2 linked regions of the Arabidopsis thaliana genome follow. The protein of the gene in region 2 purifies or fractionates together with the protein of the main gene of each other region. This does not show direct contact. Each region holds a gene or a part of one and is shown on either strand. Other genes may lie near its edges.

Region 1 (5,177 bases), on a different chromosome or scaffold from region 2:
CAAACTTGACTACGAGAAAACTAGCTGAGGGTAGGATTTGAACCCAAAACTTGGTCATAATCCTTTTTGAGTTCCCAAAATTCACTGATAGTGTTAAGCGGAATCGTTCATTCAAAATATATACTATATGTAGGCTATTTGGGAATATCTTATACACTTTTTTGTAAGAAAATTAGACATATTTATCTATTGTTTTTAAAAAAAAATTGTAAAAAAACGAGATCTAAGTTTATTGTCAAGTTAAACAAATAGAGAATTACGGGACGATAAAAAGAAGGAAACTAAATGATTAGAGACTTTATTTTTATTTTTCTCAATCGACGTGATGACCAATTTGATACAGACTCATAATCTATATGATATACCCAGGTGGAAGACCCATGCGTTGCATGCGTTAGAATTAATATAATAAAATACAACCTGTTGTTTAGCTGTTTCTAATTAATATTGAAATATGTTTAGCTGTTGAAAACATATAGAGGTTACCTTTTATTTTTCTCTAACTTATTCATCTCATCTAGTTTATCCAACTCTTTTTTATTATTCAGCTTATCTTTATTCAACTTATCAGTACTCATTTTATTCAGCTAGTTCAATTTGTTAATCACCATTGGAAACTTTTTAGGTGTTTATTTTTAGAAAATACTCTTCATTAAATCTCAAAAGTTCATAAAGTTTTTGGTGTAAACTACTAATTGGAGATTCGATCTAATGTTTTATAAAGTATTTTATATGGTTTAATAAGATTTTAGAAGGTATTTAAAAATGTTTTACAAGGTATTGTTTTACAAGGTATTTATAAGTTATTTTTATACTGTATTTATAAAATATTTATAAGTTTTTACACACATATAAAAGTAGTTTGTATACTTTAATAAAGTTACACACATATTTGAATAAACCTCATATTCTTAGGAGTACTTTTAATAAACAATTAGAAATATAATATTTTTGAAAAGTGGTATTCGAAAAGATGCTTTTGAAATTCTTCCTTTATTTAGCTTCCAATTCTAAACATTTGAACTAAACTATTTGATATTCAATTTTAAAAGCTTATATGGATTGTCACCTCCAAACATATGCTAGATATTTACTTGAGAATTTTTGATAAACATCTACTTACAAAATTTTAACTAAAATAATATATTGAGAAATTGGAAAATGAAAAAGTAAAATGGTCGAAGAAGAATATCTTTTATGATATGTTAGCCTCAACAACGGGTGATATTTAATAATTAGTTTAAAACTTTAGTCACTTTGTAGTTAATACTTCTGATTTAGGATTAAGGTCCGTTGCACCCACTACTTCTGACAAAACTAAGTGTGCGGACTTAGAAAATAGATTAAACATGGATGGTCTCCTATCTCTTTGTTGTCAACCCAAACCGGCAAACCCTGATATTCTCTTATTACTTTTCATCTATAACATATTGAGTACTAGTACTTGACCAAAACAAACATTTAACTATATAGTACATCTCTTTGGGCTTAAGGAAACCCTTTTGTAAATAAAGCCTAAGCCCAAATTGTAGAACTAGTTATAGTCAATAACACAAAATTGCTTCTAAAAATTTCCCAAATCTCAAGTCTTATTATGTTATTTTCAACAACGATATGCATGAGATCATGATACAATTTGAATCTGCAATAACAAAACTGATACAAATTGGTAAAAACATATTTTATTGTCGAAAATGTTTGAAACATTCAGATCCAAAAGAAAGGCAAGGCGAAATTGATACAACTACAAATCATTCAAATATTCTTATGTCAGAACAACAGTTCCTGGATAAATTTGCTCCCACTTGAAGAAAAGTGTAGTCATCGCTAGAGAAGATGAAGAGATTCGTGATGAAGTGGACTTGGAAAAAGAGTTGAACCATAAGAGTGGAAGACAACTTACAAAGAGTTTGGAGACATCATACCAGGAATCAGTTAGATCATTGGCATAGAACATCGAACAGCCTTCTCGAGTATTAATTTACAGAGATTTTATTGTATTATATAAAATATTCACAAAACTGTAGAAGTTTCAAGAAAATCTAAATCCGACGGTTGAAAAACTCCCTACGTAATCTCTGTTGAACAACAACGGTCCGATCAACATAGTAAAAACGAAAAGTAAATCCAACGGTTAAAAAAACGAAACAAAACAAAAGATCCGACGAGGAAGAGTAGAACCGTTTGCCCTCTCTCTCTCTATCTTCCTTATCTCTCTCCGCCACTCTCCTTCTCTTTCTCCGAACTCTTCGATGGCCGGTCTACTCAAAACGCCGTCTTTACATCTCACACCAACTCTTCTTCATGCTCCTTCTGTACCCTTTAAGCCCTTTTGCGTATCTTTCGCCGGAGGAAGAAACGTTAGCGTCTCACTCTCTCGCCGAGCTTCTCTCCGGTCTGTCTCTAGCGGCTATCCTCTCCGCTTACTAAACCTCGTACCCTTTGCTTCGGGAGAAGCTGAGACGACGGAGACGGAGGTGGAATCGAACGAACCCGAAGTTCAGGTTTTTCGATTTCGGCTCACTTCTGTTCAACTTTCTTGGGGGTTATTTCATTGTTAGTTCGGTGATTAGGGTTTCGAATTTGGGATATGGTAATTTAGAATTGCTTGTTGTTTGCTTAAATTTTTAAGCTTTATTGATTATATTACCCTCTGAAGGAACGTTCACATGAATTAGAGCAATGAATAGGATTGTATTCAGTCTATTCAGGAGTCAAATGGTGAATGCTAATGTTTCTTAGGATATACCAAATCCGATGAATGACAGATTTCATATTCTTGTGGTATGGTGTGTTCCCAAAATGAAGGAGTTTCACTAGTAGTTTAAGACCATGGTGTGTATGTACTATCCAAATCGAATTTTGATTTCGTGATTCTTGTATGGGGGCCACAGAATGTTCTGAAGCTTTTTTGGTGTTAATCTGATTGTTTAGGAGGTCATTAAAAAATTGTGTCGTTAGTGTGTGTTCTGTCTCAGCTTTTATCAGGAATAGATAGGAAACGTCTATGTAAACTGGATTGCTCTTTTTCTGATTTTTTGTTTCACTTCTGAAATCATGGAGCAGGAGACGGATGGTGCTGTTGATGTCGAGAATGAAAATGCCAGTGCTGAGGAGGGTGAAGCTGAGGAAGAAGAAGCAGCTGTTATCACAGCGTTGCTGAAATCCTATAAAGAAGCTTTAGCAGACAACAACGAGGGGAAGATTGCTGAGATAGAAGCATCTTTAAAGTCCATAGAAGATGAAAAATTTCTGCTTGCGGATAAAGTAGCGTCTTTATCCAATGAGTTATCGGTGGAGAGGGATCGGCTTATAAGAATCAGTGCAGATTTCGACAACTTCAGGAAGAGGACTGAGAGGGAAAGGCTAAACCTTGTTTCAAATGCTCAAGGAGAGGTTGTAGAGAATCTTTTGGCTGTTTTGGATAATTTCGAGAGAGCTAAATCCCAAATTAAGGTGGAGACTGAGGGAGAAGAGAAAGTCACTAATAGCTATCAGAGCATATACAAACAGTTTGTAGAAATTCTGGGATCACTTGGTGTTATCCATGTGGAGACAGTCGGCAAGCAGTTTGATCCAATGGTTAGTTACTATGATATCTTTTCTTCTTTCCGGAGATCGACAACTGTATTTTTGTTGCTCAGCTTGCTGGTGGTTTTAATTTTTAACTATGGACGTGATCTTTAAAATCAAAGTTGTTTTGGAAGTTAGGATAATTCGTTGCTATAGGGCTGCCGGAATAATCTTGAGCAGAACGTAGATATGGTTGTTACTTTGAAAGTTAGCTACATCAGATGGATGGAACAAATTATGCTGAATGATACTTTTGTGATGCAAATGATCAATAAATCTTTGAGGTTTAGGATCACTTATCTCAGTTAGATGCCTTTTGGTTATCGCAAAGCTTGAAATACATAACCACTTATGCGTCTAGTCCTAAGCATGAATCTGCTAAAGTTTTGGAGACTTTAGATGTAAGATGTGGTTGTTACTTTTGCAAGTTGGGTTTAAATGACAATGAGTTGGTAGATATCCTTTTGTTTGTTGGTCTTTTCAAGTCCCTAACAGCTGACATCTCTTTTTTATCCTTTTGCTTTTCTCGTTGTTGTGTGAAAAAAGCTACATGAGGCAATAATGAGAGAAGACTCTGCGGAATACGAAGAGGGTATAGTACTAGAAGAATACAGGAAAGGTTTCTTGCTAGGTGAAAGGCTTTTACGTCCTTCAATGGTGAAAGTATCAGCTGGACCTGGACCAGAAAAGCCCCTTGAAGCTGAAGGAGAAGAAGCCACAGCACAAGGAAGCGCAGAAGAAGAATCATCTTCATCTTGAAATTGAAGATGATCAAGACTCAGCAGTTTTGTGTGCGTGTGTGTGAGAGAGATACAGAGATAAAAGAGGGAGAGGTCTGTTTTACCATTATTGTTGTTATTGTTATTGATACGTTATATCATTTCTACAGAGTCTAGAAGTAATATAGATCGACATTTTTAATGAATTCTTAAGTATTCAATCCGAAAGGGAATGCCATAATTGATTTTTTTTCATCTCTCTATACACAGCTAGAAAATTCGGAAGATTCAGAGAAAATGTTGATAATTGGAAGTTTGGAACAAACAGAAAGTCAATACAGTAAATTGTATTTGAGTACTATGGCCTACGAGTCCAAATTATTGTCCAAGTTTTCTTCTTTTGGTTAGGGTTCTTTGGGTACTTAAATATCTTAAAGAGGAGTTGTCCATTTTGTGTAAAGAAATGTTAGGGCCATGTATGTTGGGTATCTTGGATTGGATTTTTTTTTCTTCTTTCTTTTGTTATTTTTTGGATATTTCTAGTAACGTTGGGATCCATGCATAATGCATTAAACCGGGTAATAGAATAAATAGTGTCATACAGTGAAAGTGTGAAACAATCAATAGTAAATTTTATCCTCAATGATGATAATATATCACATAATTTTTGGATCGGATACGAGGTGTAATCGGCCGGTCCATCTTTAGTCTCCTAGGACAATGCATGTCTTGTGTGAACGTACAAGTACAAATGTTGATTTGCGGTTCTGTTCCGGTTTTTGGTTATCAGATTTCAATTTTTGGAGAAACGTGTTAACCAGAAGCGAACCGAATATATTTGTATCCAGTTGTTGACTAACAAATGTTACAGAATTGTTTTGTTGT
Region 2 (8,076 bases):
GAGCAACTTCCACTAGAACAAATCTTGATATCTTGTTCATATCCGTAATCATAATAAGCTTAGCATGGACGATGCAAGTTATCAAGAATGTTCAACAAGTTGCGATTTCACGGGCGAGATATGTAAACTTTGCACATGGAGAAGATATGGACGCTTGGAATGCTTTCCGCATCACTATGAAACACTTGACTGGGAGCATCTGCGTTGGCTCGACGCTTGTTCCAATCATCGTATTCATAAGAGGATCAATAAGAAGTGTTAATCTAATGTCAGGGAGCAGCGATGAGGTCATGTATTCAGGTGCTGATTGCTTCTCTACCATTGCTAACAAACTCATTACACTTGGAAACAGATGGGGCTTTGTACATGTTGGAACCTATGATAAAGGATTCATGGAGGCTTCGAGTGATACCTGGAAGAAGTTCAGAAGCACAACAGGGTTGGAGAAACTGATTGACTCGGATCTCACTAGCTCCTTCTGTTTTCTCAGTGCTGTTTCTGTTGGAGCTGTCTCTTCATTAACTGCTGGGATATGGATGTTGTTAATACACAAGGACTATGCCCTGGAAGTGACTCTCTATGCTTTCATAATTGGATATTTTGTGGTAAGATAGCTAATTTTATAAAACTAAGAAGAAGACTTTAAGACAAAGTGGTTTATGTTGTGTACCTGGTTTTGAGTGTTTTCAGGGAAGGGTAGGTTTGGCGTGGCTACAGGCATGTGTATTGGCTTACTATGTAGCTTATTCTGAAGATCCTCAGAGCATGAGATTTGATGGAACAATTCCACAACGTATTCAGCGTCTTCAAATGTTAAGTGCTCACCGAGATAACAGGGAGCTTGAGGTGGGTAGAGACAGAGAAGAAGATAGTTATAACAATTGTTGAGTCATGAAGGAGTCTCGCTACATACATGTAAAGAAAAACAAGGATTACTACTTTATTTCTTCAAACTTATAGATTCTTCTATTGATAGGCAAAAATCTTAGCTTCAATGTGTTTATATGTATGCCAAAACTCCAACTAAAGAAAGAATGCACATACTTTTTCTCTCAACTTAGCCATTATACAGTGGGACTTAGGATTATTGAAATTTTCAACACTTAAAAATCTTAGAGTTTTTAGTATACTACCAATTTACAGCAAAAAATAACTAAATTTGTTCCATATGTGACACAAGTATACTAGTGATTATAATCACAATCATTATCAACATTAAGCACAAGTACATTCTAATGATTAACGGAAAAAACAATAATCTGAAGCAATAGAAGGAAGAGAAGCTACTGCACATTTGGAATCGAATACCCGATAAGGGAATCCGCCGCAGATTCTGGAGAAGAATTTGCAGTTTGTCGTAGAGAGCTTTTGATTGAAGAAATCAAACAAAAATTTAGGAGGAGAGATCTCGAACCGGAACAAAAAGTTTATATTGGTATTGAAATTACAATTGATTTTGTGTTTGGTTTATACTGGTTTAGAGAGGAAAAGAAAAAAATATTCACGCGATGGTGATTTTAGAGACAAGTGCGTTGATAAAAAAAGGCACAATTTCAGAAGGTAAACCCCTACAGAATTGCTCTCACGCTCTCTACGCGCACTTTGTGAGAGTGGATCTGAAATAGAACTTTCTGATTGGCTAAAAAACTCTAAAAAAATAGCAATAGTAGACATGTTGCTAGCTCTTGTTATTATTTAGCTTTTCTACAAAACGCAGTCGTTTCTATTTCGATCGTTTCAGCTTTTGACATTGATCCGAACCAATCGGTTCAACTGGCTTAGTCTATCCACAGGTTCGTATAAAAAATCTCATTTTTGGTCATCAAATTAAACAGTAAATTTATATTAATTAATCATAAGTTAATGTTTAAAGACAAATTCTATTTCAAATTTCTAACGAATCAGACCTAATTGTCCGGAATAAATGATTGGTTCTGAAAATATCAGTTGGGAAATTAAAACCCGGTTCAATTTGAAACCGGAAACAAGACTAGCTACGCCTCACACAGAGTCACAGGAGAAGCTCCCGCGTCTGCAAGGAACGGATAAAGTCTCTCTCTTTCTCACTCTCTCTCTCTCTCTCTCTCTCAAAGAAGAAGAAGATGTTGACGAGTCCCAGTAACGCACTTCACAGTAGTACTCCACAATTCTGGCCACTTCGCCGGAGCAAGCTTTGCCGTTCCCGGAATTTCCCTCGTTTTCACTCCGGCGAACGCAGCAGCGGCGGAGGAGGAAAATTGTGCTCGCTCTCTCTTCTCTCCGGAAGTGGCGCCGGTAAATTCAGTGTCAGAGCTCTAGTTAGGCCTGATGATACCGACGACGCTGACTCCGTCGGCGATGGGTCTCTGGCTTTTCCTAACCACGTTTCTGTCAAAATTCCATTCGGAAATAGAGAGGTAATTTCTTCAAAAAGCTGTACTCTTTTGATTTCATTGGTTGCAAGTTTGAATTCGGAGTTGATTGGTAGGATTTGAGACCTTTAGCTCCATAGTAGAGAAGCAAAGCTCGCTGTTTAGATGAATGTGTTGAACATTGTTCAAAGTTTTTCATCTTTTCTTTCTTTTTGTCTACTCTGTAGATTTTAGTTGAGACTGGTCTCATGGGGAGACAAGCAAGTTCTGCAGTCACGGTCACAGATGGAGAAACTGTAAGTGTGCTGCTTCATTCAATTTCCAAAACTTTCAACTTTTTAAATGTTTTTGCTTATCTCTTAATCGGTTTGTTAGATGCGGAAGCTTTGTTTTATTTTTTACTCTGTCTACTTGTCATTGTAGATTGTCTACACATCCGTTTGTCTAGCTGATGTTCCGAGTGAGCCATCAGATTTTCTTCCCCTTTATGTTCACTATCAGGAGCGATTCTCAGCTGTAGGTCGAACTAGGTAAGCGTCTTTCAAGCTCTTGCAATTTTGGAGTCTCTTGCTATAAGAAGACCATATCATTGCCTAAATGATGATCTAAATGGACCTTCTTATGGTACAGTGGTGGATTTTTTAAGCGAGAAGGGAGAACCAAAGATCACGAGGTATGTACTAATGATGGTTTTGGTTTCGTCTAATTCGCCATCCTTCTTAACATGTTTCTACTTTTGATTTTTATGCAGGTTCTGATTTGTAGGTTGATCGATAGACCTCTACGCCCCACTATGCCCAAAGGTTTCTACAATGAAACTCAGATTTTATCCTGGGTATGCTTCTTCTCCATGGATATCTTTATGTTCCGATAGGCCCTTTTTTTGTCTGTTTTGCCTCTCTTTGGTTGAACAAAATACCTTTTGACTTGCGCTTTCTTTTGTCTCTGTATGATGGCGTCTCCTGTTTTGTGTGCCTACTACCTTTTTCGGAAAATGATGTACATTGTTTTTTTATACTTAAACATATATGGGATGGTTGTATTCATCTCCTTTGTTTGAGTCTCATTCGTAATTGACCTGTTGCTTGTTTGTGGTTTCAGGTTTTGAGCTACGATGGATTACACGCACCTGATGCTTTAGCTGTTACATCTGCTGGAATTGCTGTGTATGTAGGGTCATCTTTTTCCGTTTACATATGAGTGAAGCTTTTTTATCTTGGCAAAGTTGACATGGCTATGTAATAAATGAATACCGCAGAGCTCTTTCAGAAGTACCAAATGCGAAAGCGATTGCAGGAGTTCGGGTTGGTCTTATTGGGGGTGAATTCATTGTCAATCCAACCGTGAAGGAGATGGAAGAATCACAGCTAGATTTGTTTCTAGCTGGAACAGATACTGCAATTCTAACGATAGAGGTAAACTCTAATCTTTACTTGAGTTTGCAAGATTTGCCCTTTCTCTCCTGTTTTTTTTTTTTTTTCTATACTCAGCCCTTGCTCATTGAAAAATCTGGGATTGCAGGGATACAGTAATTTTCTTCCTGAGGAAATGCTTCTCCAAGCTGTTAAAGTTGGACAGGTATTTCGATTTTTAATTCGGATTATTTCAATTTTTAAAAGTCTGAATTAGATACTAAATGTGAGGCTTTTTCATTTTTACCAGGATGCTGTACAGGCTACATGCATTGCTATTGAAGTTTTAGCAAAGAAATATGGAAAGCCTAAAATGCTTGACGCTATCAGATTACCACCTCCAGAGCTATACAAGCATGTGAAAGTATGTTATACACTTTGTTTCTGTTTCGTTTTGCCAGAATGGAATTGCATTGATATTATTTTGTAATTCATGTTTAAAATGAATTGTTTTATGTACACAGGAACTTGCTGGTGAGGAATTGACAAAAGCGTTACAAATTAAGAGTAAAATATCGAGAAGGAAAGCCATATCGTCCCTGGAAGAAAAGGTCTTGACAATACTGACAGAGAAGGGATATGTTATTGATGAGGTAGCTTTTGGAACCATAGAAGCACAACCGGATCTGTTGGAGGATGAAGACGAGGATGAGGAAGTTGTTCCTGAAGGTGAGGTGGACCAAGGCGATGTTCACATTAGACCCATCCCTCGGAAACCTATTCCTTTAGTGAGTCTCTTAACCTTTTCAACATGATAACTTGAATGTGACCTTTTATCATATTCATTTTTTCTTAAATGTAATGCTAACAAACTAGTCATTTCCCTTTGCTAGCTATTTTCTGAAGTAGATGTCAAGCTAGTCTTCAAAGAAGTATCGTCGAAGCTTCTACGTAGGCGAATTGTTGAGGTACAACATCTGATTTCTTGGTATTTATACCCTAGACATGTATGTTTAAGGATTTATTTTCTCACTGAAGCATTTTATGAACTACACTACATTAAAGAATCTAACATGTTTGAAGCCACACATCTTTCACATTGTCTCCTAGTAATTCTTTCCTAAATTTTCATTTTTGTTTTCACTTTTTCGGAATGAGCTTTATTGATTCCATATGACATCTTTCTTCATCCATAGGGAGGTAAAAGAAGTGATGGTCGGACTCTGGATGAGATTCGTCCAATTAATTCAAGATGTGGACTGCTTCCCAGGGCACATGGAAGTACTCTGTTCACACGTGGGGAAACACAGGTAACATAGGAATGTTGTCTTCTGGAGAAATCCTGCGTGGCTATTTCATATGTCGATCCTTTCTCTTATCGCCTTTTATGTATTTTAAGGCAATTGGTTTGCTAATGAACATTTAGTATGATTCTTTCAGGCACTGGCAGTTGTTACGCTTGGTGATAAACAAATGGCGCAGAGAATTGACAACCTTGAGGGTTCTGATGAATACAAGAGGTTCTATCTTCAGGTCTCTTTTATATTTGTTCTTCTCACTTTGTTATTATTATTACAGTTGACTTTTTATTAGACAAAGTAAACTTTTTGATGTGGTTAGTTGCTTAGTGTCGTTCTTCATTTTTCTTGTTGTGCTTAAAGAGATTTTCTAAGCTAGTCATTGTGATGTTGCAGTACACTTTTCCTCCATCGTCTGTTGGTGAAGTTGGACGAATTGGTGCACCCAGTAGAAGAGAAATAGGTCATGGGACACTAGCAGAGCGAGCATTGGAGACCATTCTACCTAGTGATGATGACTTTCCTTACACAATACGTGTTGAAAGTACAGTAATTGAAAGCAATGGTTCTTCAAGGTCAGCTTTTTTATCTGGTTTTATGATCTGCACGCCTAGTTTGTTTGAATGACAAATTTGGTAATTGCTTCTTACGTTGATCTCAAAATGTGACAGTATGGCATCTGTTTGTGGCGGTTGCTTGGCTTTGCAAGATGCTGGAGTTCCAGTCAAATGTTCTGTTGCTGGGATAGCAATGGGAATGGTTTGGGATACTGAAGAATTTGGAGGTGATGGATCTCCCCTTATCCTTTCTGACATCACTGGAGCTGAAGATGCATCTGGTGATATGGACTTTAAGGTCAGAAAATATGAGGATTCCCTTGAAGGACCTTGCATTGACTTGAATGCTGAAGTTTTGATATGTTTGTCAATAGGTTGCTGGGAATGAAGATGGCGTTACCGCCTTTCAGATGGACATCAAGGTCATCATCCGTTTCTTAATTTACACTACCGAAATGGTTTTAAATGGCAATTGAATTAATATGTTGGTAACATCTTTTCTTACTTCTTCTCTTTAATCATGAACTAGGTAGGAGGAATTACTTTAGAGATAATGGAAAAGGCTCTAATACAGGCAAAAGCTGGGCGTCGCCATATTCTTGGTAAGGAATGTTATTCATGAATTATTAGTCTCAAGATAGTAGACTTGGGGAGATTTAGTTCCTTGGAAAATGTATGCCACAAAAGATGTAATTTACTATATTTTTTTTTTTCCTTTTTGTGCAGCTGAAATGGCAAAGTGCTCACCGCCTCCCACGCTAAGCCTCTCAAAATATGCTCCATTGATACTTATTATGAAGGTTTGGCTTCAACTAGTTTTTCCAGGATTGCCCAGTCTAATGCCTTTCTGCCTTGAACTAAAGATTGTTGGCGTTTCATGTGCTGCAGGTTCATCCAAGCAAAGTATACTCTCTTATTGGTTCTGGAGGTAAGAAAGTAAAGAGCATCATTGAAGAATCTGGAGTTGAGGCCATTGACATGCAAGATGATGGAACTGTGAGATATACATGCAAAAAAATGTGATTTTATATTTATTGGGTATTCTTTATCCTAACTTCTTAATATTTATCTTTGTCAAGGTCAAAATTATGGCAATTGATGTAGCGAGTCTAGAAAGGGCGAAAGCGATTATTAGTGGATTGACAATGGTTCCCTCTGTTGGTGATATCTACAGGTATGTATCCTTCATATACCTTCTCTGACCAAAAAGCGTAAATAGATTTGGATTCTTACCTTTCTTTTTGTATCAGGAATTGTGAAATCAAGTCAATGGCTCCTTATGGTGCATTTGTAGAGATAGCGCCTGGGCGGGAAGGTCTTTGCCATATCAGTGAGCTGAGTGCTGAATGGCTTGCAAAACCAGAGGATGTGAGCATTACTCATTGATTCCCTTCCTTTATAGAAATTGTTTCATCTTTTATTCAGGTTTTCACATACGCTCATTCTTGTCCTTTCAGGCCTATAAAGTAGGAGACCGCATTGACGTCAAATTAATAGAGGTCAGCGAGTTATTGTGTCTTTATAACTCAAGAGACAATATAACTAATCGGAAATGATAATTAGAGAGTTGTTGAACAAAGAAACATGGATAATGCAGGTAAATGAAAAGGGTCAGCTTCGACTTAGTGTACGGGCTTTACTTCCCGAATCAGAGACAGACAAAGACAGTCAGAAACAACAGCCGGCAGGTGATTCTACCAAAGACAAGAGTTCGCAAAGGAAATATGTAAATACTTCGTCAAAGGACCGTGCAGCTGCAGGAGCATCAAAGGTTTCATCTGGGGATGAACTTGTCCTGAAGAAGAAAGATGTAAGGAGAGCAACTGGTGGTAGTAGTGACAAGACAATGAATAGCAATAGCAGTACCAACGAAGAAAGTTTAGTCAACGGTGAAGCTACAATCAGCTAGTGGAATGCAAACAAGATCACTGTTCATATCTGTGTCTCGTGAGACTCATTACGAAAGGAGGAGAGTTTCTTCCAACGGAACCACAGGTGCGACTTGAGAAATCTTGAAAACTTGAGACAAGACAAGTTGCAAATGTCTTTTCTTGATTTTTTTTCTAATGTTTTGTAATTATGTTTCTTGGCAGTTTCTTGAAGCTGTGCATATATGTTGGCAAGTCTGGTGTGGAGGAGGATAACATTTTTGAAGACGTCATATGTTGGGAGATTCTCAGACATTTCATCAGTTCTTTCTGTTGTCTTCTCTCTTGCAAACTCATTAGTCCGTTTAGGTTACTTGATATATTAATGTTTTTGACTAAATTTTATTTGGGATAGATGATTTTTCTTCAGCTTGTCAAAGTTTCCCAATTTTTGTTATGTTTCGAGTTATTAGATGGACTTGGCAACTTCAAGAGTTTTAAAGATCACTTAGCTAAGTGAAGAAAACTATATAACTGGATACATTTCACAACAAGAGCACATATATTTCTAAGCCTGTACAAGCAACAACAGCTTGAGGTCGAGTCCCTTTAACTGCTGCATTGAACCGCCCATATTAAGCAAGATGATC

Evidence for each region. Proteins that work in one complex are often made in the same cells at the same time.
Region 1: the proteins of RIF10 (region 2) and EMB1241 fractionate together in Arabidopsis thaliana (co-fractionation; one large-scale study listed by BioGRID). This does not show direct contact.

Annotation. Positions count from the first base shown.
Region 1 is NC_003076.8:5,838,715-5,843,891, reverse strand, and holds EMB1241 (Co-chaperone GrpE family protein), read left to right. Parts: upstream 1-2,033; 5' UTR 2,034-2,252; coding exon 2,253-2,504; intron 2,505-3,066; coding exon 3,067-3,582; intron 3,583-4,119; coding exon 4,120-4,332; 3' UTR 4,333-4,553; downstream 4,554-5,177.
Region 2 is NC_003074.8:917,440-925,515, forward strand, and holds RIF10 (polyribonucleotide nucleotidyltransferase), read left to right. Parts: upstream 1-1,922; 5' UTR 1,923-2,102; coding exon 2,103-2,396; intron 2,397-2,578; coding exon 2,579-2,647; intron 2,648-2,774; coding exon 2,775-2,881; intron 2,882-2,981; coding exon 2,982-3,024; intron 3,025-3,102; coding exon 3,103-3,186; intron 3,187-3,452; coding exon 3,453-3,517; intron 3,518-3,609; coding exon 3,610-3,766; intron 3,767-3,872; coding exon 3,873-3,929; intron 3,930-4,013; coding exon 4,014-4,127; intron 4,128-4,227; coding exon 4,228-4,491; intron 4,492-4,596; coding exon 4,597-4,671; intron 4,672-4,899; coding exon 4,900-5,013; intron 5,014-5,143; coding exon 5,144-5,236; intron 5,237-5,397; coding exon 5,398-5,576; intron 5,577-5,672; coding exon 5,673-5,856; intron 5,857-5,932; coding exon 5,933-5,980; intron 5,981-6,087; coding exon 6,088-6,160; intron 6,161-6,284; coding exon 6,285-6,358; intron 6,359-6,446; coding exon 6,447-6,554; intron 6,555-6,637; and 11 more. Other genes in the region: AT3G03700 (Plasma-membrane choline transporter family protein), read left to right, coding at 1-605, 691-888.